Linked DNA regions of Tamandua tetradactyla. The protein of the gene in region 4 interacts with the protein of the main gene of each other region in a pairwise test. Links are inferred from orthologs where the notes say so. Each region holds a gene or a part of one and is shown on either strand. Other genes may lie near its edges.

The links.
Region 1: the proteins of CMTM5 (region 4) and TUFM interact in binary tests that used the Homo sapiens proteins (3 or more experiments, as listed by UniProt). The two-hybrid records come from large-scale screens. The link is inferred for Tamandua tetradactyla from reciprocal best matches to the Homo sapiens genes CMTM5 and TUFM.
Region 2: the proteins of CMTM5 (region 4) and COQ8A interact in binary tests that used the Homo sapiens proteins (3 or more experiments, as listed by UniProt). The two-hybrid records come from large-scale screens. The link is inferred for Tamandua tetradactyla from reciprocal best matches to the Homo sapiens genes CMTM5 and COQ8A.
Region 3: the proteins of CMTM5 (region 4) and MYG1 interact in binary tests that used the Homo sapiens proteins (3 or more experiments, as listed by UniProt). The two-hybrid records come from large-scale screens. The link is inferred for Tamandua tetradactyla from reciprocal best matches to the Homo sapiens genes CMTM5 and MYG1.

The regions. Positions count from the first base shown.
Region 1 is NC_135349.1:25,025,909-25,033,945, forward strand, and holds the start of TUFM (elongation factor Tu, mitochondrial), read right to left. Parts: upstream 3,280-8,037; 5' UTR 3,013-3,279; coding exon 2,970-3,012; intron 2,852-2,969; coding exon 2,657-2,851; intron 2,235-2,656; coding exon 2,068-2,234; intron 1,874-2,067; coding exon 1,769-1,873; intron 1,687-1,768; coding exon 1,522-1,686; intron 1,386-1,521; coding exon 1,253-1,385; intron 1,173-1,252; coding exon 1,068-1,172; intron 933-1,067; coding exon 781-932; intron 676-780; coding exon 556-675; intron 91-555; coding exon 1-90. UniProt on the Homo sapiens protein: GTP hydrolase that promotes the GTP-dependent binding of aminoacyl-tRNA to the A-site of ribosomes during protein biosynthesis. Also plays a role in the regulation of autophagy and innate immunity.
Region 2 is NC_135333.1:19,604,140-19,611,773, reverse strand, and holds the start of COQ8A (atypical kinase COQ8A, mitochondrial), read left to right. Parts: upstream 1-4,468; 5' UTR 4,469-4,660; intron 4,661-7,634. UniProt on the Homo sapiens protein: Atypical kinase involved in the biosynthesis of coenzyme Q, also named ubiquinone, an essential lipid-soluble electron transporter for aerobic cellular respiration.
Region 3 is NC_135333.1:114,659,462-114,667,042, forward strand, and holds the start of MYG1 (MYG1 exonuclease), read left to right. Parts: upstream 1-4,007; 5' UTR 4,008-4,171; coding exon 4,172-4,387; intron 4,388-4,570; coding exon 4,571-4,683; intron 4,684-7,581. Other genes in the region: PFDN5 (prefoldin subunit 5), read left to right, coding at 951-1,022, 1,221-1,323, 1,627-1,658, 2,700-2,774, 2,893-2,998, 3,695-3,771. UniProt on the Homo sapiens protein: 3'-5' RNA exonuclease which cleaves in situ on specific transcripts in both nucleus and mitochondrion. Involved in regulating spatially segregated organellar RNA processing, acts as a coordinator of nucleo-mitochondrial crosstalk.
Region 4 is NC_135340.1:31,514,725-31,522,681, forward strand, and holds CMTM5 (CKLF-like MARVEL transmembrane domain-containing protein 5), read right to left. Parts: upstream 3,481-7,957; 5' UTR 3,451-3,480; intron 3,183-3,450; 5' UTR 3,075-3,182; coding exon 2,958-3,074; intron 2,037-2,957; coding exon 1,884-2,036; intron 1,305-1,883; coding exon 1,212-1,304; intron 1,005-1,211; coding exon 920-1,004; intron 836-919; coding exon 822-835; 3' UTR 540-821; downstream 1-539.

The DNA.
Region 1 (8,037 bases), on a different chromosome or scaffold from region 4:
TCGGAGGGTGAAACGCTGGCCCTTTTCTAAGATCATTGGCTGCCGCAAGATGAGGGTGAGCTTCAGGTCCTCCCCAGGCATGGCAAGCTCCTGAAGGAAAAAGAGACAGGAATGAATATGGCTTTTGGGGTACCTTAACTGCTTCTGCCTACTATAGAGGTTCAGTTTCATGGGACAATGCAGCAGGTGATGTTGGGCAGATGCAAGGGCAGGAAAGCATAAAAAGGACCAGTGATCAGTATTCCCAAGGTTATGTTTTTGGAAAAACATTTTGGAAAAAAAAATTTTTTTTTTTTGGTTTAAATTATGGGCTATGTAGAAGTTGCAGGACTTCTGAGTCCCACATAATAAATAACAGGAACTTTTAATTTTCCTAGGGATAAATACTGGTAGAGTAAGCTTGCCTACTTCAGCCCAGGGTACACGGTCCAGACCCATACACCTCCACCCGAGGAAATCAAGACATCTTGGCATCTTTGGCCTCCCTGTAAACAAGGTAGAGCTGACTGGAAGAGGACCCCTTCCACTCCTTCACATCTCTCTACACCTGCATACCTTCTCTGGGGGCAGGATGACACGACAGGCCATGTCCCAAGTCAGGGAGAACATGACAGGAATGAAGTGAGACACAAAGGGCTTGTGGCGACCACCCTCCTCCTTGCTGAGAATGTAAACCTGGATAAGAAAGCAGGGTGAGGTAGAGCTGGGCCTGGCTGGAAGCACTGTCTCTGCAGGGGGCTGTTTGGCTCAGCCCTGCTCACCATCCCCTAGAGCCCTCACCTGTGCCTCCACCTTCTGGTGTGGCTGGATGGAACCTGGCTTGGCCATAACTAGGCCACGCCTCAGGTCCTCCCGCTTCAAGCCTCGGACCAAGGCCCCAAGGTTATCCCCTGCCTCTGCCCTCTCCAGGCTCTTGTGGAACATCTCAATGCCTAGGAGGAGAGAGAAAGGAGGGAGGAGAAAGAATAAAGGAGGAGGGTTTGGGGCAGAGGAAGAGCACAAGGGATGTGCCAGGGGAGAGGTCAGCATGGAGCCAGTCCCTGGGTGCTGAGGTTTCATTCCCATACCTGTCACCACAGTGCGAATGTTCTTGTTATGTCCCAGGAACTCACATTCATCCCCTTTTTTCAAAATGCCACGTTCCAGCGTACCTGTCACCACTGTGCCCCGGCCTGGGAGGGAACAGGAACGGATGTCAGGGACCCTGGGCCTGCCTCTTGGAGAGGGAGTGGTGAACGAGCCCAGTCCTCACCAGGGATAGAGTAAACCGATTCTATAGGCAGCAAGAAAGGCTTCTCCAGGTCCCGGGTGGGCACTGGAATGTAGGTGTCCACAGCATCCAGCAGCTTCTGTACCGACTTCAGCCCTAGCTCAGGGTCACGTTGCTGGGAGATGAAGGTGAAGGACTCTTGAAACCTCCATTCTGCTTTTACTTAGCACAAGTCTGCCCAGACTCGGGGCAGAGCCCCTGCCCATGCAGCCCCATCCTCCACCAGCAATCCCTGCTGTCCCCACCCTCACCTCAAGCGCACAGAGGGCAGAGCCTATGATGACTGGGGTCTCCTCCCCTTTGTAGCCAAACTCAGTGAGCAGTTCCCGGATCTCCAGCTCAACGAGTTCCACCATCTCAGAGTCCTGGACAGCATCTGCCTTGTTCACATACACCACAACGTGCTCTACCCCAATCTGGAGACAGGGACAAAGATAGGGCAAATGTCTGGAATGGCCCAACCCCTACTCATTCCACCCCCATATGAGCTCTGCATACCTGTTTTGCCAGTAATAAATGCTCTCGGGTCTGGGGCATGGGACCGTCATTGGCTGCCACCACCAGGATGCAACCATCAAGGGGGGCAGTGCCTGTGATCATATTCTGGGCGGAAGAAATGGAACCCTCAGCCTAGTAAAGTGACTTTCTCAGCTCCATATCCATCTGACCCAGCCATCTCACCACCCACTACCCACGGCCACAAACTCACACATCCACTATCAACCTCCTCCCACAGAACCCTAACTTTTATCCTGACAAGAAGCAGTTCTGGCCCTGCCGTGTGCAGCAACTCTCACCTTGACATAATCTGCGTGACCTGGGCAGTCTGTGTGGGCATAGTGGCGAGCTGCGGTACTATACTCCACGTGAGCCGCGTTGATTGTGATCCCGCGAGCTCGCTCCTCCGGTGCATTGTCAATTTCCTCATACTTCTTAAACTTGGCCCCACCTCCCTCCGCCAGAACTAACGGAGGGGGAAAGAAACCCCCTCTCAGCTCAAATTCTAGAACTGGAAGCAGGGCTCAGACCACGCCCCTAGGCCCCTCCCACCTAAACAAATAATAGTCTGGAAGAAAGATTCTCTCCGCCTCCCTCAAGTCTCGAACTCCTGCAGCAGAGGTAACTTTGGATCAGACAGGAACGTTAAAAGGCCCCAGGGGTCAGCCAAGGTAAAGCTTCCTCTTACAGAGTACTCCCACGGCGAGCGCGTCCCCCAAATGCATCGCAAAGTACTAAGTGAGCAGGGGACCTCTGTCTCCTGGATCCTCCATTCTACCGCCCGCCGGAGACCTGGCTTCTGGGGTCACACTAAACACCTCCAGCAGCCACTCTGGGCTCCAGGTCCCGCCAATAGATCGGGAGCTGCCACACCCCAAGCCCGCTCACTCTTGGTGATGGCCGCAGTCAGCGTGGTCTTGCCGTGGTCCACATGGCCGATGGTGCCCACGTTCACATGGGGCTTGTCGCGCACATAGCTCTTTTTGGCCTCCACAGCCAGGCCCCGGCACAAGACGGGCAGCGCCGGGGCCTTCGGCGGCCGGAACAAAACCTGCAGCACTGAGGTGGTGCCGGCACCGAGACCTGCCGGGGCAGAGGCTTGGCGTCAGAGCGCGGGTTCGAGCCCGGCCACCCCGACACCACCCACATGCCTCTCCCCCACCCCCATCCTGAGCCACCACCGCCTTTCCTGCTCTCTCACCACTGAAGCGGGGCGTCGCGCGCAGCAGGGTCGTAGCAGCCATTGTGGTCGTGCTTGCGCCTCGGGCACCGGACCGGAAGCCCGCTAGTGCCAAAAAGAAGGACACTTGGGGTTGGAGGCTATTTCCGGCAAGAATAGGGGCCGGCAGGGCGAGGCTGGGCGCCTCTAGCTACCAGTTTCTATGGTCGTTTCCGCCAACTTCCGGGCGCGGGACGGAGGACTTCTAAGAAGGCGCTGGTCGCTGGTGTCTGCACAATACACATGGGCCTCGCCGCCTGCGGGACGACGGAGTTTTCTCTGGTGCGCTCTGGGGCCCTCCCATGAGGCACCAGGGCCCTCCCACAATGCACCAGGGCCCCGAAGCATCGTGGGCATTGTAGTTTGTAGGCCGGCGGGTCGGGAGGGCACTTTGAGTCTGGGTTAGGTAAGGGCCCGCGGGGTCGGCAGCGTCCTGGCCTCCGAAAGGCAAAGACGGCCCTAGCGCGGACTGTTGAGGAACGTCCCGGGCCGGCGGAGAGAGGCCGCGAATCCCCTGGAGTCCGACTTGCTGCGCGCGGCTCGCGGGAGGCCGGGCGGCCTCCATGCCGCAGGTGGAGGTAGGGCCAGGCCCGGGGCGCCTTTTGGGCGTGGGATCAAGTGTAAGCCCTCTGTCCGCTAAACCTTATCCGTTAGATGGAAATAACAGTATCCACCTGAGAGGAAATGAGACGGGCCGAGATCAGGGACGGAATCCTCTGTTCTCCTGGTCGAATAGTCCCTGCCCCACAAATAGCTGCCCCCTGGCTCACAACTTCCTGGACTCTTTACTGCCCGACTTTACAGGTCACAGTCCCCAAGACATTCCTGTAAACCATCAGCAGCCCAGGGAGAAACTCTCCGATCGTCGCCCCGCCACCACCACTACCGCCACCTCCCGACTCCCGCCTCAATTTTATAAATGAGGGTGAAGGACCAACCTAGGGGGGCGTTTAACGGCAGACTGAATCTTGTTCTAGGCTTTATCCCCATCACCTAACGCGGGGCGGGGCATGCAATGAGTGCTCAATAAATGCGTTGACTGAATGAATGAGTAATAACTTTTAACTTTCACATCCATCGTTTCATCGCAGCTTCCCAACATTACTCCAAGACAATAATAGCAGCTACTTAAACCCGATTAAGTTTCTGAAACTCACTAGATCCTGTGACTATGTTGACTGGCTTCCTTACCTGGAGATTATGATTCAGAGGGACTGGGCACTATCAGGGAAACTATATTTATAACACACACACCCTCCCTTTATTAAGCACAGAGGAGTTTCGACAACTATGAACTACAGCTTTTTAGGTATCAGGTGTTGTGCAGATGCTTCGTATTGGTACACAATTACTGCTTCCAGTGCTACCCTGTATAGTAGGATCTGTTCTTTCTCCCATTTTACAGGTGAGAAAACTGAGGATCAGGGAGGTTAAGGAACCTAATGCAGCAAAACTCCAAAACATAGCACTAAACCAATGTACAGTACTATCACAGAACTATAATTTTATGGATGGTTCAGATAAACCAAGAGACCAGCCAACACCGCTTTCCTCCTGGTCCTCCAAACTATCACCTTTTCTTAGAAAGGGCTGGTACAGTGTAAAACTGTTTTCTTTGTTCCTACCCTTTACCTCTGTCACTCTACTCTTGGAAATTATCCTAAGATTTTTGTGATCACTAGTGGGTTATGAATTTTTTGGGGGGTGGTATGTGAACTAATGGATTCTCTTTTAATGGTGTTTGTGTGTGTGTATTGTTTTAAAAAAAAGGAAAAACCTGGCACAAGTAAATGCTGAGTTTCAAAAGATCAGTCAATTTAAAAAGTATTCGGTAAATAATATTATGGGTGGCAAAAATTTTTGAAGGGGGTGCCTTTGAATGAAGTTTCAGAAGCACAGGGCTAAGAGTCCAAAGGAAGAAAAAAATATTATAGAGCTGTTAACTACAACATCTTTTATAACAGTGAATGGATCAGTCGGAAATCTTAATTTACAGGTAACAGAATTTATATTGGCTGGTTTAAGCAGAAGAGGGATTTGTTAAAGAGTACTGGGCAAGTGATTAAATAAATAAATAAATAAATAAATAAATAAATGAATAAATAAAAAGTTCTGGGCAGGGATGGGGAGGGCTGGATAAATAGCTGCTGAACTGACCTGAAAAGAAAACTGCTGCTGCTACCACTGTCTCCAGATACTAAATGCCAGGACTTAGACTTGTCTGCTACTGCTCGCGGCACTGAAACCACTTCTGCATCAAGAAAGTGACCTCCCTCCACCCTGCCCCAAAGCCAGACAGATTCAAAGTCTCACGTGGATGTGCCTGATTGTGGAAGCCTTGATCATGTAAGTGTTCTTGTATCAGAGGAGGCTGAGAGAGATATTGTCAACTTTGATGTTGGGGAAGCAGGACTGATAGGGAATTTCCCTAGAGGTATAAGAAAGTCTCTTCAAAAGAGACTTTCCACAGAAAGTTAAACATAGAATTACTATATGACCTGACAATTTCACTCCTAGGATATACCCCCAAAAAACTGAAAGCAGGAACTCAGACAAATACTCTTATATCTGTGTTCTTAGCAGCATTAATCACAACAACAAAAAGGCAGAAACAACACAGGTGTCCATCAACAAATAAATGGTTAAACATAATGTGGTCTATCCATACCATGGAATATTATTTAGCCAGAAAAAAGGAATGAAGTTCTGATATATGCTATAATATGGATGAACCCTGAAAATATTATGCTAAGTGAAATAAGCCAGGCACAGAAGGACAAAAAAGTGTATGATTCCACTTACATGAAATATATAAAGAAAAAAAGTAGATTAGGGGTTACCAGCGGCTAGAGGGAGGAATGAACGCGGGATTACTGCTTAATGGGTATAGGGTTTCTGCTTGGGGTGATGGAAAAGTTTTGGTAATGGATGCTGGTAATGGTAGCACAACATTGTAAATGTTATTAGTGCCACTGACTTGTATACCTGAAAATGATTAAAAAGGCAAATTTTATATATATATATATATATATATATATATATAGTACCACAATTAAAGAAAAAGAAAGATGCCCAGCCATGCCTGTGACAAATACAATGAAAGAGTAGAATGATCACAAATGTCCAGTATGTAGATATGGTAGCATTAATTGTGACATATCCGCTAGATGGAGCAGGCTCAGAGTTGCAGAGATGGAGCCAGGTACCTGTAAAAATGCTTGTGAACAACATAAAATGAACCAGGGAGGAACGGCTCCATGGATGGGAGAAGGCAGGGGATAAAGAGATTAGGACAAAGGAAGTTGAAAACAATTGTGATTTCGGCAGGCTGTGAATCTCCTTGGAGGAGGAGAGAGATTTTCTCTTTTAAACATTTTTGTTTTTGTCATTACAGTTAAAGAAAGAAGGGTTCTTTGTACAGAATCTTTAACTCTTAAAAAAGGTGCTCTTGAAATCAAAGGGCTTCTGGGTTCCTCCACCCCCGCAGCAGGCCATTCATTCTGCTCTATGGCAGACATTTTAGCTCCAAATTAGCAGCAATTTTCTCATCTCCCTGCAGGCAGGGCCCTGATTTTGTTCATCAAAACAAAAGGCCTGGTCTGGCCTGGTCTGGCTGCCCTTTTCCCAGCTCCAGGAATAAATCCTGACAGGTCTAATACAATTCCGCTGGTCCTGGAATCCCCTGGTCCTTGCCAGGGCATTTGTTTAGGGTTGAGTATATGACTCCTCTGGGGCCAATAATTGGTAAGAGGAGATCTGTTTGAGGAAACTTCCAGAAAAGAATTCCTCACTTTAAAGAAGGAAACACTGGAAGCGATGGACCTCTTTCTGACTCCACATGTGGCTGGTTCTGGCAGGGAGCGGGAAACACTGTAGCCTTCTTGCTCCCAGTTGGATGACAAGGCCAGAACCCAGAGGAGGCCAAAGCATAGAGGATCCTAGAAGGCTGGATTCCTTGTGGTAGGAGATGATGACTGTCTTTATGGTTTAAGCCAGAATGCTTCAGAGTTGTCTGTTATTTGTAGCCCATTACAGCCTGACAGACACTCTTACAGCAGTTGGTACACTGAGACATATGTCCTGGTTTTGCTTGTTTGGGAATACGTTGTGACTTGAGCAGGGTGGGGGCTGGGCTTCACAAATCTCTCCTCCCCTGTACCTGGCTAAACAGTTGAACTGTTAGTGAGCTTTCTCAGCTGAAGGGTGCTGCCACTGTGGTGCTCACCATTTACAGTGTCCAAAATAGTACTCTTTTTTCTCTCCCACCCCCTCATCCCTTACATATGTCAATAAACAGAACCACCATTTCCCTTGCCCTGTTCACCTAGCCCATTATCCAGCCCTGCTGGTTCTCCAGAATATACCCCAAATGTGGCCACTCCTCAAGTAGGCCCTGGGGGTCTACTTGGTGGCATTGTTGGTCCAGGTTACCTCAAGAGCTTTCTGGTGGGTCTCCCAGCTATTATTCCTATTCCTAATACCTGTCAAATCCATCATCCACACAGTAGCCAGATCAAGCTTTTAAAAATATGCATCAGCAAAAAATTCTCACAGAGATAATCTTACCCTCAAAACAATCTTTTGAATTATGTGTTCTTCTTAACTTTATTTTACAGTGAGTTTAAGTGACTTGTCCTGGGGCCCAGACCTAGTTTAATTTTTCTGTCACTAAATCATGCACCATCACACTATTGATTATTCTGAGCTTGTGGCAACCCAAAACTTTATCCTACTTGTCTCAGTGTTTAACCATGTCATCCACATTTTATATTTGTGCGGTCATTGGAGTTCAGTAATGTATATATTTTTCTTTCAAAAAGCATTAAAAATTTTCTAGTAAGCAGCTACAATTCTGCTTGGAGTTTGGTTTACTTTAATAAATAAAACATATGGTCCCTGAAAAAATAATTTATCAGAAATTAATATTCCCTTATTAACTCCTGTGGCACTTAGAATAACATCCAAACTTCTACTTTAAATGGACAATTGCATGGTAGTTTAATTATATCCCAATAAAACTATTTTTTTAAAAAAAATCATCTCTTTGGCC
Region 2 (7,634 bases), on a different chromosome or scaffold from region 4:
AGAAACATGGAACTTATACTTCAACTGGGGGAGAAAAATAGTAAGATAATAGGTGATAAAAAATATTGGAAGAAAAATAAGGCAAAAAAGAAAAGTGGGTTTCCTTCAATAAGGAAACAAGATGGGTCACATTTCAGTAAGATGGTCAGGGAAGAACTCTAATCTATGATGTGACGCTTTGTCAGAGACCTATGTCAAGTATGGGAGTGGGCCTTGTGGATGACAGAAAAGCATTTCAGACAGAGGGAAGAGGGAGTACAAAGTCTCTAAGAAGGGACTGTCTTTGGCATGTTAGAAGACATGGCAGGGAGGCCTATTTTTTTGGCATTAATGTGAGAAAGGGAGAGAGCTGTTGAAATGATTATCTGAAAGTTCCCTGGGGCTTGGATCTTGCAGACCAACGAAAGAATTTTGGATTTTATTCTGAGAGGAGAAGCCATTAAAGGATTCTGCATTTAGAAATGATGTGATCTGAATTTTGTTTTAAAACAAACAAAAAGGGCTTCCTGAAAGATGGGTGGAAGTGGCAGACCAGTTAGCTGACTACTGAGATAATTCTGGTGAAAGATGAGGTTGACTTGAGATAGGCTGACGGCGATCATGGAGGTAAAACTGGGTCGATTCAGGTAGTCTGTAAATAAAGTAGAAGGATATGCTCATGGCTCTCAGGTGAGTTATGAGAGAAACAAAGGAGTCAAGGAGGTCTCTAGGTTTCAGGACTGAGCAATGGAAGAAGCCACTTATTGAAGACAGGGAGCTCTGGAGTAGGAATGAGGGTTTGGGTGGGCAATCAAGGGGTCAGTTTTGGACAGTTTTCTCTTTGAGACACGTGTTGGGAATCCTAGTGGAGACGCTAATGGGCAGCTGGATATGTGAATCTGGAATTCTTAGGAGAGGTTAGTGCCGGAAGTAGAAATTTGGGAGTTATCAGCTTCTAGAAGGTGGATGAGCTCACTAAGGGAGTGAGTGCAGACAGAGAAGAGGTACAATGAGTAGGTCCTGAGGTCCTCCAACATTTAGAGATAAGGAAAATGATGAGGACCCAGCAAATGAAATGGAGAAGAAATGGCTTATTCTTAGAAAGAGAATCAGGAAAGGATAATGTTCCAGAGATGCTGAGTAAAAAAAAACCTGTTTTTAGAGGGACAGAATAAGAGGATGCCAGCAAAAATGGCAGAGTAAGGACTGCTTAATTCTTTTCATCCACAAAAGCAATGAAAAAATTGGCAGAAATGGAACTCTAGAAACTAATCAAAGATTTGCAGCAATTGGGGAGCAGTTATCGAAGAAAAATGGCTGAATCTCAGTAAGAATGTTGAGTTTGTGTTTTAACTTGCTATAATCTTTTCTCCTGCTCTCCAGCCATGAGATAGACTTGAAAAATAACATACATAAAATATAATTTTCCAGCGTTTTGCTGGAAAGGGGAGCAGAGAAATGGGGATGGGGGTGAAGGTTGAGAGATATTATAATAATTCGGTAGGCTGATGGGAATGATTCCGTAGCGGAGTAAAAATTGGTAAGTGCCTCCTCTGTCTGTGCTATTAATGAAGAGACAGAAGGGAATTACTGGAGTATCATGCTTCTTATCTAACTGTGCCAAGCACAGGTGTCTCTGGTTATTGGGGGACTGTGTATGTATGTATGCGTCTACACACATGCATACCATTTCTGTGTGAATGTGTGTATAAAGTATAATACTATATTAAAATATTATGCCCATTAGTAAAGATACACAAATGCAAATTTTTAGAAATTTAAATTCTAAAATTTTTTAAAATTATGATGGCATTATAGGAACATTAAAATCTCAAGGCAAATAGATATTCGGAGTGAGGTACATAGTAAATGAAATCCGTATTTCAAATGTCTTCTTGATCACTTTGAATTTTCTGGCTGTTTTCTTGTCAGCTTTAGCTAGATCCAATCTTGCTCTTACCTTGTAGTGAGGCTGACAAAATTTTCATACCAAGAAGAGTAGAAATGACTGTTATTTATTATTTACCCTGCCTGTATTACTAGCATTGTCTTCCATTGGGAATTTTTTTGTTTGGCAGGTATGTTTTATTTTTATTTTTATTATGGAGAATTGTTAACATATATAAAGAAACAGAATAAGAGAATGAATCCCAATATACCCATCATTCTCTTCCACAATTATCAACTCATGGCCCATTCATTCTCCCCCAGCCCTGTAATATTTGAAAGCAAATCCCATACACCTGGAAATAATTCAGTATGTATCTCTAAAACATAAGGACTCTCAAAAAAAACATAGCTCCAAAGCCATTATCACACCCAAAATATAATTTGTAGGAATCTTTAATTTGTAGTAATGGGGGAATCTTTGCAATAAAAACCAGGTCAGGAAAGAGAGAAATGTATTTTTAGTACAATAAAGCTGAGGTCATTTTTCAGAAGGAGTAAGTTCAAAATCATATTAACCTGATGAAGATGCTTTCTTTGCATTGACTAGGTGGGGTGCATTTCTCTTTAAACTAGACTGCTGATTCTTTTTTTTTTTTAATTGAGAAATCTTCACACACACATTCCATACATAGTATAGAATCACTGACTCACTATATCATCACATAGTTGTGTCTTCATCACCATGATCATTTTTTAGAACATTTGCATCACCCCAGAAAAAAAGAAAGAACTCATACATATAACACATCTTACCCCTCCCTCTCATTGACCACTAGTATTTCCATCTACTTGACTTATTTTACCCTTTGTTCCCCCAATTATTAATTTTTTTATCCTTTTTTTTTTTCTCATCTGTCCATACCTTGGGTAAAAGGAGCAGACTGCTGTTCTGGAAGAAAATCTAGTGTGTGGTGGTGGGTTGTGTTTGTCTTCAGGTGCTTCAGGAGAGAATGCCCTGGCATTGCTGGTAGAGCAGGGCTGAGCTCGCATGGAAGCAGCCGATTCGCTGCCCATGGAATTCGAGTGCCATAGCCTCTCCCCACTTCCATCAGCAGAAACGGGAGCCCGCGAAAACCTCACCCTCACCCTCACCCTCACCCCGCTGAAGTCTGAGATACAGGGAGGGATGGACTGGAGACTCCATTATGCCACGGACAGGTGGGAGGCACTAGGCTGGAGGACCTGCAGGAACGCAGGCAACAGAGGGGGAACCGGTGGTCCCAGAGGGCGCAACGGACACGCTTGGAAGGCCCAACCCTTGAGGCTTGGTGCTCCCCTGCGGTGTGGGAAAAGGGAGCCAGCTGGTCTCTCCCTAGTTTTTAGCCCTGTACTGTTTGGGGGAAATTACTTGAAACGTCAACATTTTAACTTAATTTTTCCTCATAATTTACTTTTTTTTTTTTTTTTAGTGAATTATTTAGTGCAGGGAGGATGGGGGAGGCGGAGTTAGGATTTGGGCTGTGGGTAGTGGTGGCAGCGGAGCGGTCTTTGCAGAGAGGCCCCGGCCGTAGGCGGACACCCAGGCAGAGCAGCCGAGCGCCCCGCTGTCCTCCGGGGGCAGCCCACGGAGCCTCGACATGGAGCTGTGGTCACCCACATCCCACGCTGAGTTCTGTCCTTCACGGGGCACGGCCGGACACTCTGCGGTGAGGAGCGGGGAACCCAGGGCAGGTGGTCAGCGCGAGCTGAAGGGGCAGATGCCCCCATCCAATGTCTGCGCCAATGTAAATGACTTTCCCAGTAATTGTATTAAAATGAACGAGCCACTCTTTCAAAGAAAGTTAAAGAAATGCTAACACCAAAAATATCTCTGAACAGAGAAAGATCCTTTAGCTTGAATGTTCATTTTTATGAGAAATTCACTACATTGTTCTTATTCTTCTCTTTTCCACCAGAACTATTAACCACGGTGGGCAGAGCTGCAGACTCGCACTTGGAAACCCTCGGAGAGGAACCGTCAGGTGATCTCCGCGATGGTCCGCGCCTCACAGCGCCGCTCCGGCGCCGCAGGGGCCGCCTCCGAGGAAGTCACTGCTCGGTCACCGAACCCCACGCCCCACAAGACTCCTGGAGGGCAAGGACGAACGACTGGGGTCCTTTACCTCTGACCCTGCCGGGGCTCTGCTTTCTGTGGGAACTCGAGTGCTTTCTAAGGAAACTCGAAGTTTCTTATGCAAACTCGTTGCATAAGGCGGGGCACCGAGCAGCCTTCGCCTCGTCCTCAAAGCCGCGACGCTCTCCACATCCACCCAGGCCCGTCTCCTCCCTTCACCACCTGTTCACAGGTCCAGCCGGGCCAGCACCAGCGAGTAGATTGACGGATAACGCGCCTAAGGGGACCCGGCACAGACCGCCGCGCGTGCGCACGCGCACCGAACCCTCCATCGACCCGCCCAGCCGGGCCTGGCTTTCTCCAACCCCAGCACAAGGCTCTGGAAGGTGCCCGAGGGGACCTGCATGCCAGGGCAGCCTCTCATTGGCTCCTCTAGTTCCGCCCCTGGTTCCGATTGGCTGCAGGCCGGGTGCACGGACTGAGCACGCTCCCTGGCGTGGCGCAGCATTCGGTCGGCCACAGCGGCGCAGCCAATGGGAGCGGCCCGCTGGGCAGAGCCTGCCCTGCTAGGGGTGGTCCGGACTCTGGCTAGGTGGTAAACAGATCCCTCCCTCGTGCTAGCTGCCCGCGCTGCGGCGAACCCGAGAGGGACGCGGGATCTCCGGATCCTGCAGCCAGGTAAGGCTGCCGCCTAGGGCCCGCCGCATGTCCGAGGAGCCGTCCGGCTGTGGCCGGAGCTGGGCGCTTCAGCTGCCTGGCCCCTCTTGCCTCCTCCTGCAGTGACAGCGCGACTTCCCCTTCGCGAATTTCCACTACGGCGGGCTCCGGGGACGGGGCGCGGTGGGCTCGCCTCAGGATGCAGGGTGGGGCTCTGTGGCTGCCTCTCGTACCTGCGCCCACCTCAGCCCGGCCGACCCCGCCTCGGGGAGGGTACAAGGGTCGCGTGCAGGAACCCTAGGTCCTTGGAACGTGCAGGACAACTTCGGTGGCCGGCTCTCCCATGCCCGTGCCTCTTGGTCGCCAAAACAACTTTTTTTGCTAGGCTTTCTCATGATACTGTTTCTTTTTACTCCTGGACCCCAGATTCCCTTGCACTTGTAGCTTTGTGTCTCGGATGCAGATTTGTGCCTGAAACTTTGATTCACTTGGGGCCAAAGCCAGCTGTTGGATGTTAGCGTGGGGGATCTTGGTTAAGAGAGTCTGTCTTGGTCATTTCTCCCGTTTTTTTTCTGCTTTGGTCCTTCCTTCGACTTCTCCAAGCCCTGGGGATCTTGTGAGTGGTTTGGGCTTAATCTCCAGAACTGGGCCTTTCCCTGGCTTTGGCCCTATTCGCTGCAGAGGGTACGGCCCCTTCTGCTTTGGGGACGGGGGAACGCTGCAGTGGCAGGTCTGGATGTTGAGACTCTCCATTTGGTTCAGAGGGATAAATGTCCTAAAGGTTGAGAGGCTTGAGTGCAGCTTCCCAGCCTGGGTCAAGCCTGCAGCCTATTGAAAAACTTTTCTGTGCTCATTTGGTTTACATGGCAGAGCAAGGCGGAGATGGGCATGTTAGGCCTACCTCCTTGCTAAAGGACTTGAGCATGCATTGCTGCCAGCCTGTCAGGTGGCATGTTGTGGATGGGTGGGTCATTCTGGTAGGAGGGCTGTTGGGAAACTGTCTCTCTTGGAGGAGACAAAAGAGGAGCTGCTGACACAGAGGGGCAACATCTTTAAGACTCAGATGATGGCTTGGGGGAGTTTTGTTCTGCATTGCAAATAATGCAGATAGTGCGTGCTTGTTATAACTGTTGGCCTGAGCCCTGGCAACTCAAAGAAAAAGTGAACCTGGTGGTCTGTTTACCTCCCTCAGAGCCAGTCCTGTATGACAGGTTTCTCAACCTTGGAACTACTGATATTTTGGCCTGGGATAACTCTTTGTTTTGGGGGACTTCCCTGTCCATTGTAGGGGGTGTAGCAGCATCCCAGGCCTCCTGCCACCAGATGCTAAGAATATTCCTTCTCCCCTAGTCATGACAATTACAGACATCACTACATGTCCCATAGAGGGCAAAGTCACACTTAGCTGAGAACCACGATGTAAGGATCTTTTGAATATGTCCATGAGTAGTTGGAGAGGCTTTAGCAGAAGATAATGTTGTGTCCCCTGCCCTAAGCCAGCAGTAGAAGTTGTGTAGATTGGGCTTTAAAGGAGATCCTCCCTCTGCACCTGGGTAGCAGAGGTGAAACCTGCCAGCATAGAGATAGGAGGTAGAAACCATGGGCATTTACTGTGCCTGCTGGATGAGGGCAGCGATAGCTGTGTTGGGAGTGTAGAAGATGGTGGTTTCTGCCCTTGAGGACTTTTCAGAACTTTTGGGGCTATATATATGAAACACGTTTTAAGTAGTGAGCAGATGCCTTTATTGGTTTAAACACTGGTAGAAAAGCCAACTCAGTTATCCATTATCCATAAGTGGCTTTCCAAGCTGATGCTTCACTCACCCTTACTTTATGCTCAGATTCCTCTTGTGGCTTGTCGTGTGGGAGGGGGTCTGACCTATGTCTTCAGGGAGTGAGTGAGTGGCTGCATTTCATATGTGCGTGTGTGTTGTATTTGTGTGCACCATCTGCGGCTGCAGACTCAGAAATGTCATGGTGTAGCATGGCCACGGGTATAATTTGTGGAGCTCTTTTATGGTTGACTGAAGAAGCCATGTCATAAAGACAGTGTGCCATTTCTTCTTGTGCAGAGAAAGATGCTTTGCTTTTGAGGCCAGATTGTGCCTTCTATATAACTTGGAATATATCCCCCAAACTTCTAGGTCTCATGCTGATGGGGATATAGAAAAGATGAAAAAGGGGCGATTATTGTATAGGGCTTATGCAAGGAGAAACACCCCAAGCCCCTGACTGAGTTTCCCTTTCTTGTTGTTAATGGATCCTATGGATGTGCCAGGATATTCCTGTCACTATTTCTTGATCAGGTAGGGGGTCTTCTGGTTATGCTTTGTTGTATACAGAAAAGATCAGGGCAGGGAAGTCACTTCTCCTTTCGCAAAGATAAGTTTAGGGAAGTCTATTATAGGGAAGCTCCAAACTTGGCTGGATAATTTTCCAGCAAAAGCATGGACGCTGAGTCATTTTCTTTGTCAGTTGAAATGAGAGCTGTGTGCAGGATTAGACAGGGATATTTGAGTAGAGAGTTGTCTTGATTTGACAGTGGTGTCTGGAAATAGTTCGGCATTCCTGCTCAATGACGGGTAAGACCTTGGCACAGCCAGTGTTAAGGAGCTGGAGGGAGGGGGGCCTTCTGGAGTTGGACCTGGTGGGAAGGTGGAGCCTCCGGATACGGAGGTAGAACCAGCACATTGCTTGAGATGTGTGGCTAGTCCAAGCACTCTGTGAACCTGAATCTGAGTGGTATCCATTGGTCTCTCTGCAAGCATGTTGATTGTGGGGCTGTAGGTTCTTGAGCCCTTGACCTTTTGGTTTAAGAATAGAGGACCACAGAGTGTTTAAAACTGGAGGTGACCCTGGAAAACTCTTTATTCCTCATACCTGGGTGTAATTTTAGCATGTGCATGTATAGAAAGGGTCACTAAGGAGCTCAGTGTTTTTCACTCAAATTGCCACCTAAGGGTATCTTAGAATCTGCTGTAGATAGTGGCTGATA
Region 3 (7,581 bases), on a different chromosome or scaffold from region 4:
TAAAAGGCAAAACCACAGGACAGAGCTGGGCCTGGCTGGGTCTCAGCAGACAAAGCTGAAGGAGAGAGGGGTAATAAAATGCTCTTAGTGGGAACAGAGGCCCAGGGAAAAGTAGGGACCCATTGTGAGCAACTTGGCCAAGTGCCATCACGTCTGTCTTGTCTTTCTCCTCAGGTATCCTGGGTGTGACACTAGCTTGGTGCCTCTGTTATCTTGCCCCCCTTCCAAGTAGATGTCAGTGGCTGCTGTTCCTCTTTCACGTACAGCTGCTACACACTTGTCAGTGCCATGGACTTAAGCAGCAAATTCTGTGGGATTCTGCTCCCTGTGTATTTTATTTATTTATTTATTCATTTGTCTTCTCAACTAGATTGTAAGCTCCTGTGAAGTACAAATTATATCTTACGCTAGTGTATTCCTCACATCTAGTATATGGTAAATACATTTTGTGCTGAACTTGTTAGTTGTAATGGTACCTTCTTACTGTTCTCTCCACCTCTGGACACTCTTCATCTTCATTTGACCAAAGGACCGTTTTCACAGTGCTATGCCCCCTCCCACAGAACTTCACAGGCTTCCTCCTGGCCTCTCAGTTGCCACTCACGTGGATTTTTACCACTCACATGGAGCAGCTTACGCTGCTTGTGGTAATGTCCCGGGTACTTGTCTTATCTTTAAGATTTTTAAGTTCCTTGAGGACAGACGGCAGAAATCTTGCTTGCTACAACTTTACTGTGCTATGCTTGGGATGCTTTGTGAAAGGGATGCGCTCTTACCTTCTCGAATCAAAGGCGAATCTCGGGAATTTCCAGCCCCTCCTTCCTGGGACGGAGGAACATAGAGATATCCGGCGCAGCGAGGCCTCCTGGCGCTACCATCGAGATGCGCAGAGGATGGCTAGAGCGTAAAGCGCCGAGCCGACTTCCCTTTCATTAGCCCTCCTTCTCAATATGGCGCAGTCAGTTAACATCACGGAGTTGAGCCTGCCGCAGCTAGAAATGCTCAAGAATCAGCTGGACCAGGTGGCGACGGACCCCTGAAACACCCTTTTCCCGCCTCACAGCTCCCCTGCCCAGGCGGACTCCTCGCCGCCATTCCTCCCCTGTTTGGGAAACCTCCCTTCCAAGGCGAAACCGCCACCGCATCCCCGGTCCTGTCCCCTCTTCGGCCAGACTCCCCTGACGCTCCAACCCGTTGACCATCTTTCCTGTTCTCTGCAGGAAGTGGAGTTCCTGTCCACGTCCATTGCCCAGCTCAAGGTGGTACAGACCAAGTATGTGGAAGCCAAGGACTGTCTGAACGTGCTGAACAAGAGCAACGAGGGTATGAAGTAGGCGTGCGAGGGCCACACGCAACATAGGGAGTGTGGTTAGCCAGTTTCCCCTCTCTTCCCGCCGCTTCATCCAGTTTTCCTTACCCGAGGCGCGAAAACAATCCATTGCGTATTGTAAGAGCCCTTTGCATGTTCCATACCTAGAGTTGAAATGTACAGAACTTTCCTCTGTTTCTGTTGCCCCTGTTTCGTCCTTTTCATACTGGGTGCTGTACTATGTTGGAGTTCCCTGTAACGTTTTAATGTTGGCGCTGCCAACCTTCCCCAGGTGTTTGTCTTAATTCCTTTCACAGGGAAAGAATTACTTGTCCCATTGACCAGTTCTGTATCCTTTCCACAGGAACTGCTGCCCTGACCTCTCCCATTCACCCCTTCCCCCTCCACAAAGAGGAGGTAATTTTGATTACTTCCGAGTCCCTTTCATTCATGATTCTGAAAACTTCCAGCTCTCTTTTTTAATCTGGGGCTGCCTACCATCCAGCTACTGCCTTGTAAATTACCAAGGGGTGTGTAAAGTTGAGCTGCATTATTTTCCTTTGCTGTTTGAGGATATTAATCTAATATAGGGACAAAACTGGTAGTTTACACTTTTGCTAATAATCTGGATAGACGACATAGCAGTAGAAGAATAGGGTATAGAAACAGTGGTTGGCTCTGTTCCTTTTTCTTTTTCTTTTTTTTTTTTTCCGCATGGAGAGGCACCAGGAATTGAACCCAGGTCTCCAACATGGCAGGCAAGAATTCTGCCACTATTGGCTTTGTTTCTTAATCTTCAATTTCAGCTTAATTGTGGCTTTTTTTCCTAAATTGCCATCTCTGAGAAGCCTGGATTGTGTCCACCTATTAAGTGTTTTTGTTGTATGAACAATTTATGGCAATAGGTAGTCTGAGAACTGACAGGCTAAAAGAGAAACAAAGGAATAGCAGTACAGTAGGGAAAGGTTAAATAATCATTAAATTCATTAGGAACTAGGTAGTACAGGGTTGGAGGTATTAAGGGGAAGTGAGTCTGGGTTTTCACCTTTACTACTCTAGAAAAGTAGGAAAACATCATTGTATCTAATCTTTCTGGAAGAGCTAATGGGAAGAATTTGAGAATTGCTTGTAGGGTGGGAGATGGGGTCAGGGCAAGAGAGTGTGCTAGCATGTGACATTCTCTCCACAAGGAACCACTTTTTCTCTGCCTCTCCCCATTGGAGTTTTTAAGTATAGTTCTAAGGGCTTCTGATTATTCAGAAAAGGTTATATTCAGTCCCTTTGCCTTGAAGCTTTCTAGAGAAGGTGTGCCTTCAAAGGCCAAGCAGACTGACTTACTGGAATTGTGGTTCATACTGGGATAGTTTTTCCCTTAATCCTTGCTTCTCAGATGTACGTCCCTGGTAAGCTACATGATGTGGAACATGTGCTCATCGATGTGGGAACTGGCTACTATGTAGAGAAGGTGAGTTTCTAGAAGCAAATGGGTGCCCTTGTGAGCAAGAAAAGGGAGCTTAGGAGAAGATCTAAGCTGTGATATATGGTGTCTCCTCTTACCTCTCATTTACCTCTGACCTGTGCAGACAGCTGAGGATGCAAAAGACTTCTTCAAGAGGAAGATAGACTTCCTCACCAAGCAGATGGAGAAAATCCAGCCAGCTCTGCAGGAGAAGCATGCTATGAAGCAAGGTAAGCTTGACGTAGGCCATGTTTTGTCCCTTTCTACCTCCATGATTAAGAACATGGATTGCAGTGTGAACCCATAGGGTTTAATCTTGACTGGGTTAAAGCCATATCTTTATTTCTCTTCCTTTGGTGTTTTGGTGTGTTATTCTCTAGCTTTTGTGTACTATCTGTAGATTTCTGGGTTGGGTGCCTAGGATGGAAATCATGTCCGCTCTTACAGAGGTCTTATTTAATGGAGATGGAGTAGGGGATAAGATAATGTAAATGAGTATACAGGAAAGAAACATAGCACTAAGTAAGTACTAGTGATTGCTACCTTAGCTGCATGTTAGAATCACCTGGGCCTGCTCCACACCAACTAAATCAATCTCTGGGACCTTGTTCCTTAGGCATCAGTGTTTTTTAAAAGCACCCCAGTTACACAACCAGGATTGAGAACCCCTGTTCTAAACGCAAAAATCTTTTCCACGTTATATCTTGCAGTTAAGTTTGGCTCATTTAATACCATAATTTGTTCATTTTAGCACATTGACACATTGTAGGCTATAAGTTTGTACCTAGTGTGTCTGTCCCCCTATCACTGGTTAAAAATTGTATTAACAAACTGTAGCTGGTTGTCTCCCTTTGCTTTTCTTAACTCTAGGTCCTCTCCTTCCTTTAGCACTGGCCAGTGTCTGAATCTTCCTTTTTCTTCCCCAGCTGTCATGGAGATGATGAGCCAAAAGATTCAGCAGCTCACAGCCCTGGGAGCAACACAGGCTACTGCCAAGGCCTGAGCTTGTTGCAGAAATGGGGTTAGAGGGCACCCTGCTTCAGGGGCCTGGACTTCGTAGGAGTGGCTTTTTGGTGTGGGGAAGATAAGGGCCTTGTGTTTAATGCTAATAAATGTCATTTGGGCACAGTGTTGGTCTTTTCTTGCATTAATCAGGTACTGTGTTGGGGTTGGAGGTGTCCGGGAGAGTGGGCTCCTGCCCAGTGCGTGATAAGCTGTGAAGCGGTTCCCACTTTGGAGGCCCCACACGGGATCCCTAGGAGGAACTGAGAAATCTTGCCCTGCTTAGCAATGTAGTCCTGTGAGGGCTCTGTTGCCATGGGGACGGCCGGCAAGCGGAAGTGGGGCCAAGCGGGCTCTTCCCTTTCCGGGTTGAAGTTCCGCCTCCCCGCCGCGGGAGCCATATGGGTCATAGCTTCCTGTGCCATCTCCGCCAGTCACTTTCGTGGCTGTCCCCTTTCCAGGCTCGACTCTGCATAAGGAGCCTGGCGTCTGTCCCGGCCCCCAAACGACCCCGCGGCGACCTCATGGCACCGCCCCGAATCGGGACGCATAACGGCACCTTCCATTGCGACGAGGCACTAGCGTGCGCGCTGCTTCGCCTCCTTCCCGAGTACCGGGTATGGTCCGTGAAAATTAGCCCTGCACCTACCCGCGTGCTTCCGGGATGGACTGCGTTCTCTTTAACTCTACGTGTTCCAGCCCGTTCTAACTGGATCCCTCTGGTAGCACCCCTCCCACCCGCTCTGGCTCCCCTGTAATATATTAATTCCCTGCCTGCTCACCTCCCATGTATTCCGTAGGATGCAGAGATCGTGCGGACTCGGGACGCCAAGATATTGGCTTCGTGTGACATCGTGGTGGACGTCGGCGGTGAGTACGACCCTCAGAGACACCGATATGACCATCATCAGAGGTGAGTTCCCAGATCTCATTTCCTTTACCTCTTTACTTCACCCTTCCTCTGTCCTTATCGTCTACCTTGGTCCGTATCAGTGAAGGGAATTGGCCTTCGTTGAACTCAAACTCCTGAGTCCCGCAGGGAGTACATCCTCCCATCCTTCCAATTTCTGTCTGCCATTCACCCACCTTTTTGCCCTTAGACCTTTCTCACCCCTGACCTCTACCCATGCTTCCCTTGGCCCCCAGTCAATCCTGACTCACCTTCTTCAGCTCAGACTCTTTTCCTGCCAGCACCGTTATCACCCTAACTAATGCCCTTTCTGGGATTAATCCATTCATCTGCTCTTGCTGCCACACATGGGGCTGCTGGGCCCACATGATTGTAGTGATCGTTGGCAGTTTAAATAGGCATAATCTACCTCATTCAGACTCTTCCACTGAGAAATTTTTCTTGTCCAAGTGTGTTCATAGTACCATTCCAGTCCCCCTTCCTTCTCTTCAAGCTCTCTACCTCATTAAACCCCCTCAGTGATTGTCCCTGACTTCTACTCCTCAAAGAAAAGTGAACTTTTCCTGCATGAACTTCCTCAGTTTCCCACCCCTGAATACCCTGAACTCTCTCAATCCTTTTCAGGAAAAAGTGGTCCCTTGTTTTGGAGATTAGTCCTCTGCCCTTCTTCCAATCTATTACTTCCTTCTGCTTGGCTTCCCCTCACAGGTCTCCCACCAGCGTTTCTATTCTTCCCTACAGCCCAAAACTGTCCAAAACATCTCCCATCTTGAAACAAAGGAGTGAACTCAAAACAGAAAACCCCATCAAATCCACTACACTGTTCAAAGTAGTCATCTCTGAGGGATCCTGAAGACATTTTAAGTTTCTATATTTCTCCATCTCTTTTCTTTCCTTCACCCTATTTTTCTTAAACATTGTACTTCTTACTTTTATAAATGGTGTCTAAAGGGAAACCTCCCCTTAGTTACAGCTTAAGCTCTCACTGTCAGTCACTCTTCAAAAGAATAGCCTATCCTGGCTCTACCTCTTCCCTTCCAATTAATTCCCCTCCAACCAGCTGCAGTAGCCTTCACACCCATCTCAGTTGGCTTAGGGTCTCACTTTAACTGACCTCCTTGTGGCATATGACATCATTGACTACTTCCTCTTTGCTAACGGTTCTAGTTCATATACTTTTTCTAAAAATTATACAATGTCTGGAATATAAGACATAAAATGAATGCACACAAACCTATTTCCCTACCTAAGAATGGAAACATTGCCATAACCTTTGCATCTGTTCTTGTGAGCTTTTTCCCTAGCCCTCTCTCCTGTCTCCCTCACAAGTAAGAATGTTGTTCAGTTCTCACAATGGATTTTAGCGTATGTGTATTTCTATAAATGATGTATTGTTTAGTTTTGTTTGTTTTTAAACTTTATCAGGGAATGTTAGTGTATCATCAATCTTTATACCCTGTGTATATTTTATATATATTGTATTTGTACAATAGTTAATAATAAAAATCATTAAAAAAGAGCTCCCTAAATGATTCTGATGGACTGGTATTTGGAAATAACAGCTGTAGTTTTTATTTCCTTAATATGTAACACCTGCTCCTTATTCTCTGTCCCACTGCTGTTCAAATTTCTGCCCTCCTCATTCACCTGGACCATTACAGGTAATCTTGCATTCGTTCTCCAAATGGGCTGGCATGATGCTCTAAAATGCACTTGCCTGCTTAAAATCCCTCAGTGCCCCTCCCCCACCCCACTCCATTGCCTACAGATAAAAATCCAGATTTCTTTTTTTTACATCAATTTTTTTCTTTTTTATGAAACATAACCACATACAAACATAAACATTATCATATGATCATTCCATTTTGTTATGTAATCAATTACACACTATCATCACATAGTTGTATATTCATCATCATGATCATTTCTTAGAACATCTGCATCAATTCAGAAGAAGCAATAAAAAGAAAACAAAAAAATCATACATACCATACCACTTACCCCTCTCACCAGCATTTCAATCTACTAAATTTATTTTACCATTTGTTCCCCTTATTAGTTATTTATTTTTAATCCATATGTTTTACTTGTCTTTCAGTAAGGTAGACAAAAGGAGCATCAGACACAAGGCTCTCACAACCAAACAGTCACACTGCAACAGCCATATCATCATACAATTTCTTCAAGAAACATGGCCACTAGAGCACAGCTCCAGTTTCAGGCACTTCCCTCCAGCCTCTCCATTACACCTTAGCTAACCAGGTGATATCTATTTAATGCATAAGAATAACCTCTCAACTCTGTTTGCAATCTCTCAGCCGTAAATAGTTCAGATTTCTAAGTGTGACATAATCTGGTCTTTGTCCTTCCAGCTTTATCTTTTCTTTTCTTCCCTCCTTTTTTTTAACGGTGGTAACATAAATACAACATAAAAATTTCCATTTTAATAACTTTCAAGAATGCAGTTCACTGATGTTAACTACATTCACAATGTTGTGCTGCTATCACCACCATGCACTACCAACACTTTTCCATCAGCCCATCTTTATCTTTTTTTTTTGCATGGGCAGGCTCTGGGAATTGAACCTGGGTCTCTGGCATGGCAGGCAAGAGTTCTGCCACTGAGCCACTGTCTCACTGCCCATCTCACCTTTATCTTTTGCCATCCACTCCTCCTCCTCCAGGCTGCCTTTCTTGCAGTTCCATGCAAAGACCTGTCACTTAGCCATTGTACATGTTATTCCCTCTACCTGGAATGCCATTTCTCCTTCACCTTTTGTCAGTTTGGTGAACATGCACTAAAAATTGTCAGGACTGATCTGAAAGGGTCTCTTCTCAATCTTTTTCTCATCCTCACCCTTCTTTTCCTTGTTTATAACTTTGCTAGAGCACTCAGTCATT
Region 4 (7,957 bases):
GGAAGTCACTTGCCCTGATGGGCAGTTTTATCTCATGTGGAATGAGGGCATTAGACCAGATGGTATCTAAGGGTTTTTCCCTGCACTGGCATTTTGGGGCTCTCTACCCTCCCCTGACGTCATAGACTGACCCCTCACCTGGGGCCTGCTGGCCAAATCTTCCCCACACCACGAGGGGGAGCTCGAAACACGCCCCGGACTAGCTCCTCTCCTTGGCCCACTAACAAACCTGTGTGCGCAGGTGTGGCAGGTGTGGCAGGTGTGGCCGGTGGGCGATGCATCAGGAAGCCTTGTGCCTTCCTAGATATAAAACTCCAGGCGCCAAGCACCAGGCACGCCACAAAGTGGCCCTGAATCCAGAGATTTGTGGCAGGCAAGTTTTGTGTTGGATGATGCCTTCTGTGTCTTCAGTCCATCCCCCACCTCCTCCCTGTTCAGACCAGGGTCCAGAGAGGGACCATGACCCGCTGCAGGCAACACTTCCAAAAACACACATTCTTTGAGAGGCCTAATTTCTGGGAAACAGAAAGACTCGCCACCAGTACTTGAATCTTTTAATTTGGGAAGGACTTGGGAGCTCAGCTTCCTCCCCTCTGTCGTCCTTCCCACCCTCCACGGCACCCCCTCCTTGGGTGGAGCTCCATCAGGAGCCAGGTCCCAGAGCACCAGGCCCCACAGATGCGCCTGGAGACTTCTCTGGCCAGGCGTCATCTCCATGGGCCCGGCTGGGGAGGTGGTAGGCAGAGAGTCTCGCAAAACCGAAGATGTGTCTGGGTTCCTGTGTCCCCTTAAGACTGGCTGGAACTGGGGAGCCCTGGGGGTCACTGCTGGTCGCCTGCGAAGATGGAGCCAGGCAGGAGAAGGAAGCTCAGAATGGGGTAGCTGGGGCTGGGGCAGGGGCACAAGTGCAGACACTCACCCTGGGTGGCCCGGGGCCCCAGCTCAGTCTGGTAGATCTTGAAGGCATCGTAGGCAAAGACGGAGACCAGGATGATGCCAAAAACCTGTGGGGGTCGAAGCAGGGATTGCACAACCAAGGGCATCAGGCCATTGGATTTGGGAAGAGGGAGGCGGGTGACCTGGGGCAAGGCGTGAGCCACAATCCTGGGCACTGGCTTTGACTCGAGGGGCGGGAGGACCCAGAAAGGTGCATCTGCAGCCATCAGCCAGGGACCCTGGGGGCCCAGAGGGCCCTGCAGGACCAGACTCACAAAAGCAGCGATGGCAGCTCCGTCCCGGGAGGTCACAGCGGCAAAGGAGACCACCAGGAAGATGACGATGGCACTGATGCAGCGAAGAAAGTCCTGGGGGAGATAAAAAAAGTGGGGGGTGCAGGGCCAAAGGGAAGGTCAGAGGTCAGGGGCATCCAACCTGAGGTTTTTCCAGGCTAGTCAGCAGTGCTGCCAGTCCTTACAAGGGGATACCCTTGCACACACAAAACGAAGCTCTTTCCAAAGGGCGCTCCCCCTACTACCAGGGAACAGATGCAGATGAATCCAGAGCTACCCAGGGCAGGAGGCCAGGGGCCTGCAGGGGTAGGGGGGTGCAGCCGATCCCAAATGGCGACTGGAGCACCCCAGCCAGAACCTGTAGATGGCCAGGTTCTTGGGAGAGTGGGGCTGGACTTTGGTGAGTGGGAGAACAGACAAGGGTGTGCAATCCCCTCGTTGTCCGTGACCCATGGAGCCACGAAACCGGCATGGGTCAGTTCTCAGCTTTTGATGGCAGGGCACAGCAGGGGGCAGAGAAAAGCTGAGGCAGGCGGGGCTGGGCCCACCCTCACTGGGCCTAGGGAGAGGGGAGTCTGGGAGAGGAAAAGAAACCTCTGTGTTTAAAGGAGAAGGGAGAAACTAGGACGGGGTGGGGGGGGCAGGTGTCCTCACCAGACAGGGCCAGTTAAGCCGATCGAAGCGCTGGTAGTACTGGGTGGCGTACAGGAAGAGGAAGACGAGGGTGACGAAGAACTCGAGCAGGGCGGCGGCCATGTAGGCAGAGATGGAGGCCGTGAAGCAAATAAAGATGATGAAGGTCAGGGCCTGCAGGACCGAGCATGTGGTGCTTGCCAGGAAGGGGACACGAGCCCACAGGCCAGGGGCTCCCCCTGGCTGGCACCATTTGTCTTTGGAGAGGAAAGCAAGAGCTCTGGCAGGTTCCACCACCCCACCCTCTCCCCTTCCAGTGACAGGAGCTACCAGGCCGGGGCATTTGCCCATTAAACGCAGCCCCAGCGGTATGGCCGAGCTGCACTACTCCAGGGGGCACCATTCAAAGGGCAATGCAGACAGCGGTGGCCCCCTGGAGCACAGAGGACTGTCTGAACACTTGCCTCTGCAGTTGTGCCCGTGAAGCCCTGGGCCCCAGGAGGCATGCCCTGCCCCCTAACACTTTCCCCGCTCTCAGATGCCTAAAACTTCAACAAGGAGCAAAGTCCTCAATTCCACGCCAAGAGGCGAGGCTCAGAAGGCAGACGCACACGGTGACCCAGGGGCCTGCAGCTCTGGCAGCACAGGATGGCAAATGTGCACAGAAATTAAGTGTACACTTAGTGACCAGGGGAAGACCCTATCCCGAAATAGATTTTCACGGGGAGTAGACAACAGATAAAAGTGGAGCCACAGGAAGTCTGCCCTTTTTGATAGTTCTTAGACATGCCAAGAAGTGGCCATCTTAGAGGCCAAGGAAAGGCAGGCAGGCATTCCAACTCCCTGTCCCAGCCCTGGGACTTAGGTACCCCTGAGGTCCCCAAGAGTGTCCTTCTGTCTAACTTCAATTCTTCCTGCTGCAACTGTCTCTAGATGGAGAGCGGCCAGAAGGCAGGGTGGGAGATGGGGGTGGGGGAGATGGCATCCAGAAAGCCTGGGAAAGGAGGCTGCTGGGAAGGCCCCGCGGCCAGGGCTGGGCCAGGGAGCCAGGGATGGGAGAGAGGGAGGCACCCGATTCGGGGAGGCAGCAGTTACCAGCTCAGTTTCCAGCAGGATGCCTCTGAGGGAAGAGAGGAAGGTCTTGTCCACGGCGAAACCCTGGAGTCCCGCAGCTGCCCCCTCCTCGGGGGGCCGGTTCCGAGCGCTGAGCATCTCCGGGGGGGCCCACTGAGCACAGCCCCCCTCTGCCACAGCCCAGAAAGGGAAATGGAAACCTGGCAGGATGGGTTAGCAGCCAGGAGCAGGGAGGATGCGAGGAACCTGAAAGTGAAGCAAGGAGGCCAGTCTGCGGGGCCCCTGGAGAAGCCGGGGCAGGCTGGTTCCGATGGGCCCTCCCCCAGCTGCTTGGACTCAGAGTGCCCCCCACTGGTGCCTGCACCGGCCCCCTGTGAAGTGCACAGGGCGGGTGGGGGTGAGAGAGGAGGAGAGCTGGGGTGTGATTAGCCCCTCCCCTTACTCCCAGCTGACCCAGCCCGGAGAAGGGGAGCAGGGAGGAGGAAGGGGCAGCGGAGGAAGTAGGCAGGCAAACCAGGGGGTGCTGGGAGGTAAGCTGAGAAACAGAGTCAGGACTAGGAGCCCTTCAAGGACCTAAGCCTGAAGAAACTTGTGTCCCCCGCCTCTGCCTTTAACCCTCTTCCTTGGCCCCTCCTTTCTCCCTTCTCCTTGTAGGGAGGCTGGGAGCTGGAGCCTGGCCCAGGCTGCACCCCGCCTGGACCGAGCTGTAGCAGCCAGGACCAGAGGACAAAGGCGGATTGTTGGGGGGACAACGGGGTGCTGTGTGCCTGCTGCAGTGCCTCAATGGGCCTCTGTATCTCTGGCAGGCCGGAAAGGCAGCCTGATCCCCCACCCTGGTGTTCGGGAGTAGGTCAGGGAACCAGAGAGCGGCAGGGATAGGAGGGCACAGCGGAAACTGTGGCAGGCAGAGTGGCAGTAGGTGAGGGGTGGCGGCGGGGGTGGGGAGGAGGGGAGAGTCCAAGCTAGGCGACCCCTGGGTGTTCAGGTATCAGGGATGCCAAAGATAAATGAGGCCACTTTTAAATATGACTTCTTTATTTGGATACATCTCTCCATGCTCAACAACAGCCTCCTCCTCAGAATATTCCATGTCAAAAGATATGTAACTACACCCTGATGCACACAAAATGGATATTTGAGGAATGAATTCATGAATGAGTGAATGAACAAATGAACAATAAACGGGGGGCTCTCCACTGGCAGAGAAGAAAACGTCAAGAGAGTGCCCGTGCTGTGCAGAGGCAGCTGGGAATAAGAGGAGAGGAGGAAGCAGGCGTGGTGGCCTCATGAGCAGAGCTTTGAAGCCCTTTCCCCACACCAGCTTTCAGCAACCACTCCCTTCGCTTCACCCTGTATTTCCCGTCCATTCCAAAAAGTGCAAAAGTGCAGGTCCCCCCCCCCCCAAAGCCCCCCATCCTGTCCCAGGATCCTGCTGCTCCAGGTCGGTCATGCTTTGGAGAGGCCGAGCACTTGGGCGTCCTGGCCCACAACGACTGATGGGTTATGCGACCCACAGCTGGCCCAGCCCCAGTTTTCCCGGCGAGGGAGCAGCGGCGGGCTGGCCGGCTAGGCCATCACACGTGGCCGCACACACACGCAGGCCAGGGAGACGCGGTAGACTCTGCGCTCCAGGCAGTAGCCCACGGGGGCACCCTGGTGGCCAGGACACCGCCGCCGGTAGAAGACGGTCTGGTTGTGGTAGAGCAGCTCCGAGTTGCCCAGGGGGTCCATGTCAGAGCCTGTCTGTAGGCTGACGCAGTGTGGGCACAGGCAGCGGGCGTGGTACAGGTCCTGGGGCAGCCGGTTCAAGTCCCTGTCCAACCTGTGGGGGCAGCACGTGTCAGGCCCTGGAGGGGAGCTGGTCAGGCAGACAGGGAGGGAGGGGGACACAACAGCAGTGGGGCAAGGGGGGTGCCCCACGTGAGTGTAGGCGTACACGTGTTAGACGAAGGAAGTGCTGTGGTGGGCGGCCTGGCTTCTAGCCCCAGCTCTGACCCTAACCGGCTGTGTGACTTTGAGCCAGTGACTTGGAACCCTTCCTCTCTGGATTTTCTTTTCCCAACTGTGAATAAGGATAGGGGACTAGAGAACGGTTTTCTAACTGGTCCAAGGGCCATTAGGAAGGCTGGAGAAGGTGAGGAGTCTCTGCACAATCTGGCATATATACTGGGCTTTAGCATGAGATTCTCTTTTTGTTATTGTTATTACATTTTTATGTGCTTTTTAATTGTAAAAGTAAAAACTGCCCTTAAATCTAAGTATAAAGTAATGGCTAATGGTCCTGCCCCACCAGTCTCACTCCCCAGAGGGAGCCACTGTCAACCCTTCTTGCAACCTTACCAGACACTGCCCATGCATGTATCATAAGCACGTGTGCAAGTGTATGGTAAGACCTATTTACTTATTTTGACAAGTACTTATTTACTTACTTAGCAAAAAAAAAAAAAAAAAAGAGGTTTACGAACTACTGCAAAGTGTGCCAAAGGTCTGGGACTCCAGCAGTCCAACAGGAAATAGACCCTAAATATAAGGACCCTTCCCCATACAAACAAGCCCTGGAAAATTGGGGCTCAGCTAGCACAATATTTCCAAAAGTAGGTTCCCTAATAAGTATTCTGCAAGAAAATGGATCTGTGGCCAAACGAGTCTGGGAAGTACTGAATTAAATGGGTTCTTTTCTGCACACTTCTTGCAGCCTTTAATGTGCTGTGGGCTAGAGCAGCCTTTCCCAAGATTCCTTGACATTGTCGCTTTTTTTTCCAGAGGAGCAGCTTGTGGGACAAGCATGGCATAGAGCACACTTTGGGAAAGGCCAGCTGGGTGATTCTCAGGGGTTCACAGACTCCCGCTAGAGATGGCCACCTGGCGACAGCCTCCCCTAAGCGGCTGCCCCTCCACTGAATTTGGCTCAGGATCCAGCTAGCCTTCTGAGACTGCTCTAGAACATAATGACCTTGAACCTCCATGCTAAATCTAGTCCTGATTAAAGCTGACCCCCGTCCCCCTCTACCCACACCGAATAGATGGATGGAGATCCATCTCCAAAGCCAAAGCTAAGCCAGAACTAGAATTACGGGAAGTGGGAACATGGACATCTGATGAGGACACAAAACAGAAGAATAAATAGGTCTGTGATCCTGAAGGCCCTAATTTTTAATATTTTTCTTCACTGTCCCTATTTCAGAGCCTCCTAATATTTTCCATATCATGGCGCAAAGAGCAAAGGATAATAGTTTTGTAGCACACTGAATGAAAAAATAAGACCACTCATGATCAAAGATAACCAGCCTGAGATTCCAGCCATCCAGCTGCCCCCAAAGGTTAAAGGTTTCAATAGCTTAGTATACTTGTAACTCTCTTCCCTGCATGGCCCAGAGCTTTTTTATCGGGATACCGTGTACCTGTATCATACCATCATTCCCTGAAACTTTCACTAGAAAAACATGGCCACTGGAAGGATAAGAAAAGGAGAGAATCAGCTTTCCCTGGAATAAGTACAGACTTTTACATGCATTGTGGCATTTGATCTGCACATCAGCCTATGGGATGTTCCCCCATTCTACAGATGAATAAAAATTTGAATAATTGGCCCAAGATCACCCAGTAAGAGTCAGAGCTAGGATTCAAACCCCAGCCATGTGGGACTCCTGAAACATCATGGCCTGCCTGAGATTAAAAGGGGAAGAAAGTAGACTGGGCTTGGGTGGAACTCCCAGTTCCCCTCGCTCACACCCTGACCGGCACACACGTTAGGAGGGAGACACAACACACTCACTCATATCTCCAGGGGGAGATGGCCCTGCTGTGGAGGGGTCCATCCTCGCTGGCCCGGCAGGACTCTGGAGGATGGATGAGGGGGCGGGTGAGGCTGGCAGCCTCTGGGGGAGACGGCACAGTATTCCACCTGAGCCACTCCTCAGAGGGGTCCTGCCCTTTGCCGGAGCAGCAGCTGGGCCATTGGGTACCTTCCTTTTGGAGCCTCCAATTATGGGTGTAAGTTCCCATGACCATCACCAGGAATGCAACCACCTGTAGGTAAAGGCCAGAGAGAGAACCGCTCTCACCTAATCTGGGACCCCTTCCACCCAAGCCACTCCCCCAGCTGTTCCCTGAGATCCTGGTTCATAGCTCCATCTGGCCCCCAGCCCCAAACCAGGGAGCCTGGCCTGCTCAGCCCTCAGCAGCATCTCTGCTCCTTTCCTGCTCAGCACCATGCTCTCCCAACCCTCTGACCTCTCACCTGGTACATGCTGGATGCTGCTCGCTCAGCCACCAGGGAGTGCACTGATAGTCAAGGTCTTGTGGAAATGGGCTGGCTGGAGTATTTAACAGTCCTGGTTTTATTTTGAACAAACCTGTTTTGTTTATTCAAATTTATTTCCACTACCTTTTGGAGGGAGTGACCAGAGATTTAAAAACTTGAAACTGTTTTCCAAAGTTGCTTAAAATACTATACTAATGGAAGTTATGAGAGTCATTACAAAGTCTGGTAGCCTATTGGGTCAACTTTGTTCTTTGTACTTTTCCGGGCATGGGGTCAAAGCAATAGTGTTCCATGTCTTTGTGAAGTGGCATTGTGGGAATTTCCCTGATTGGCTTGGTATCCCAAAATAAGAAATGTCATCTTGCCTCTCTTCAAGTGGCCTCATTTCCATGACTTCTGCTGCTTCCACCCAGAGCCTTGTGTCCACCATTCCCTCCTCTCTTCTCAGGCCTCCTCCTGGTCACCCACTTAGTGAACACTTTCCTTCCCCCTTGTCTCCTGTGACCCCCCCATCTCTTTTGTTCCCTGACCCCTTCCCCATCTTCCATGACCCCAAGTCCTAGAAGCCCCATCATTTATGACCTTTACCCCATTGTCCATTAGCCACCCCCCAACTTCCCCTTGCCCTGTTTAGTGACCACCTCCATTCCTGAGCTTTGGCCCCTTCCCCTGGGATAGAGATACAGGTCTAACCCTAAAAGATTTCCAGGAAGTCTCTGACTCCATCAGTTTGTTTGCAGGATCTGTTGGAAGAAGT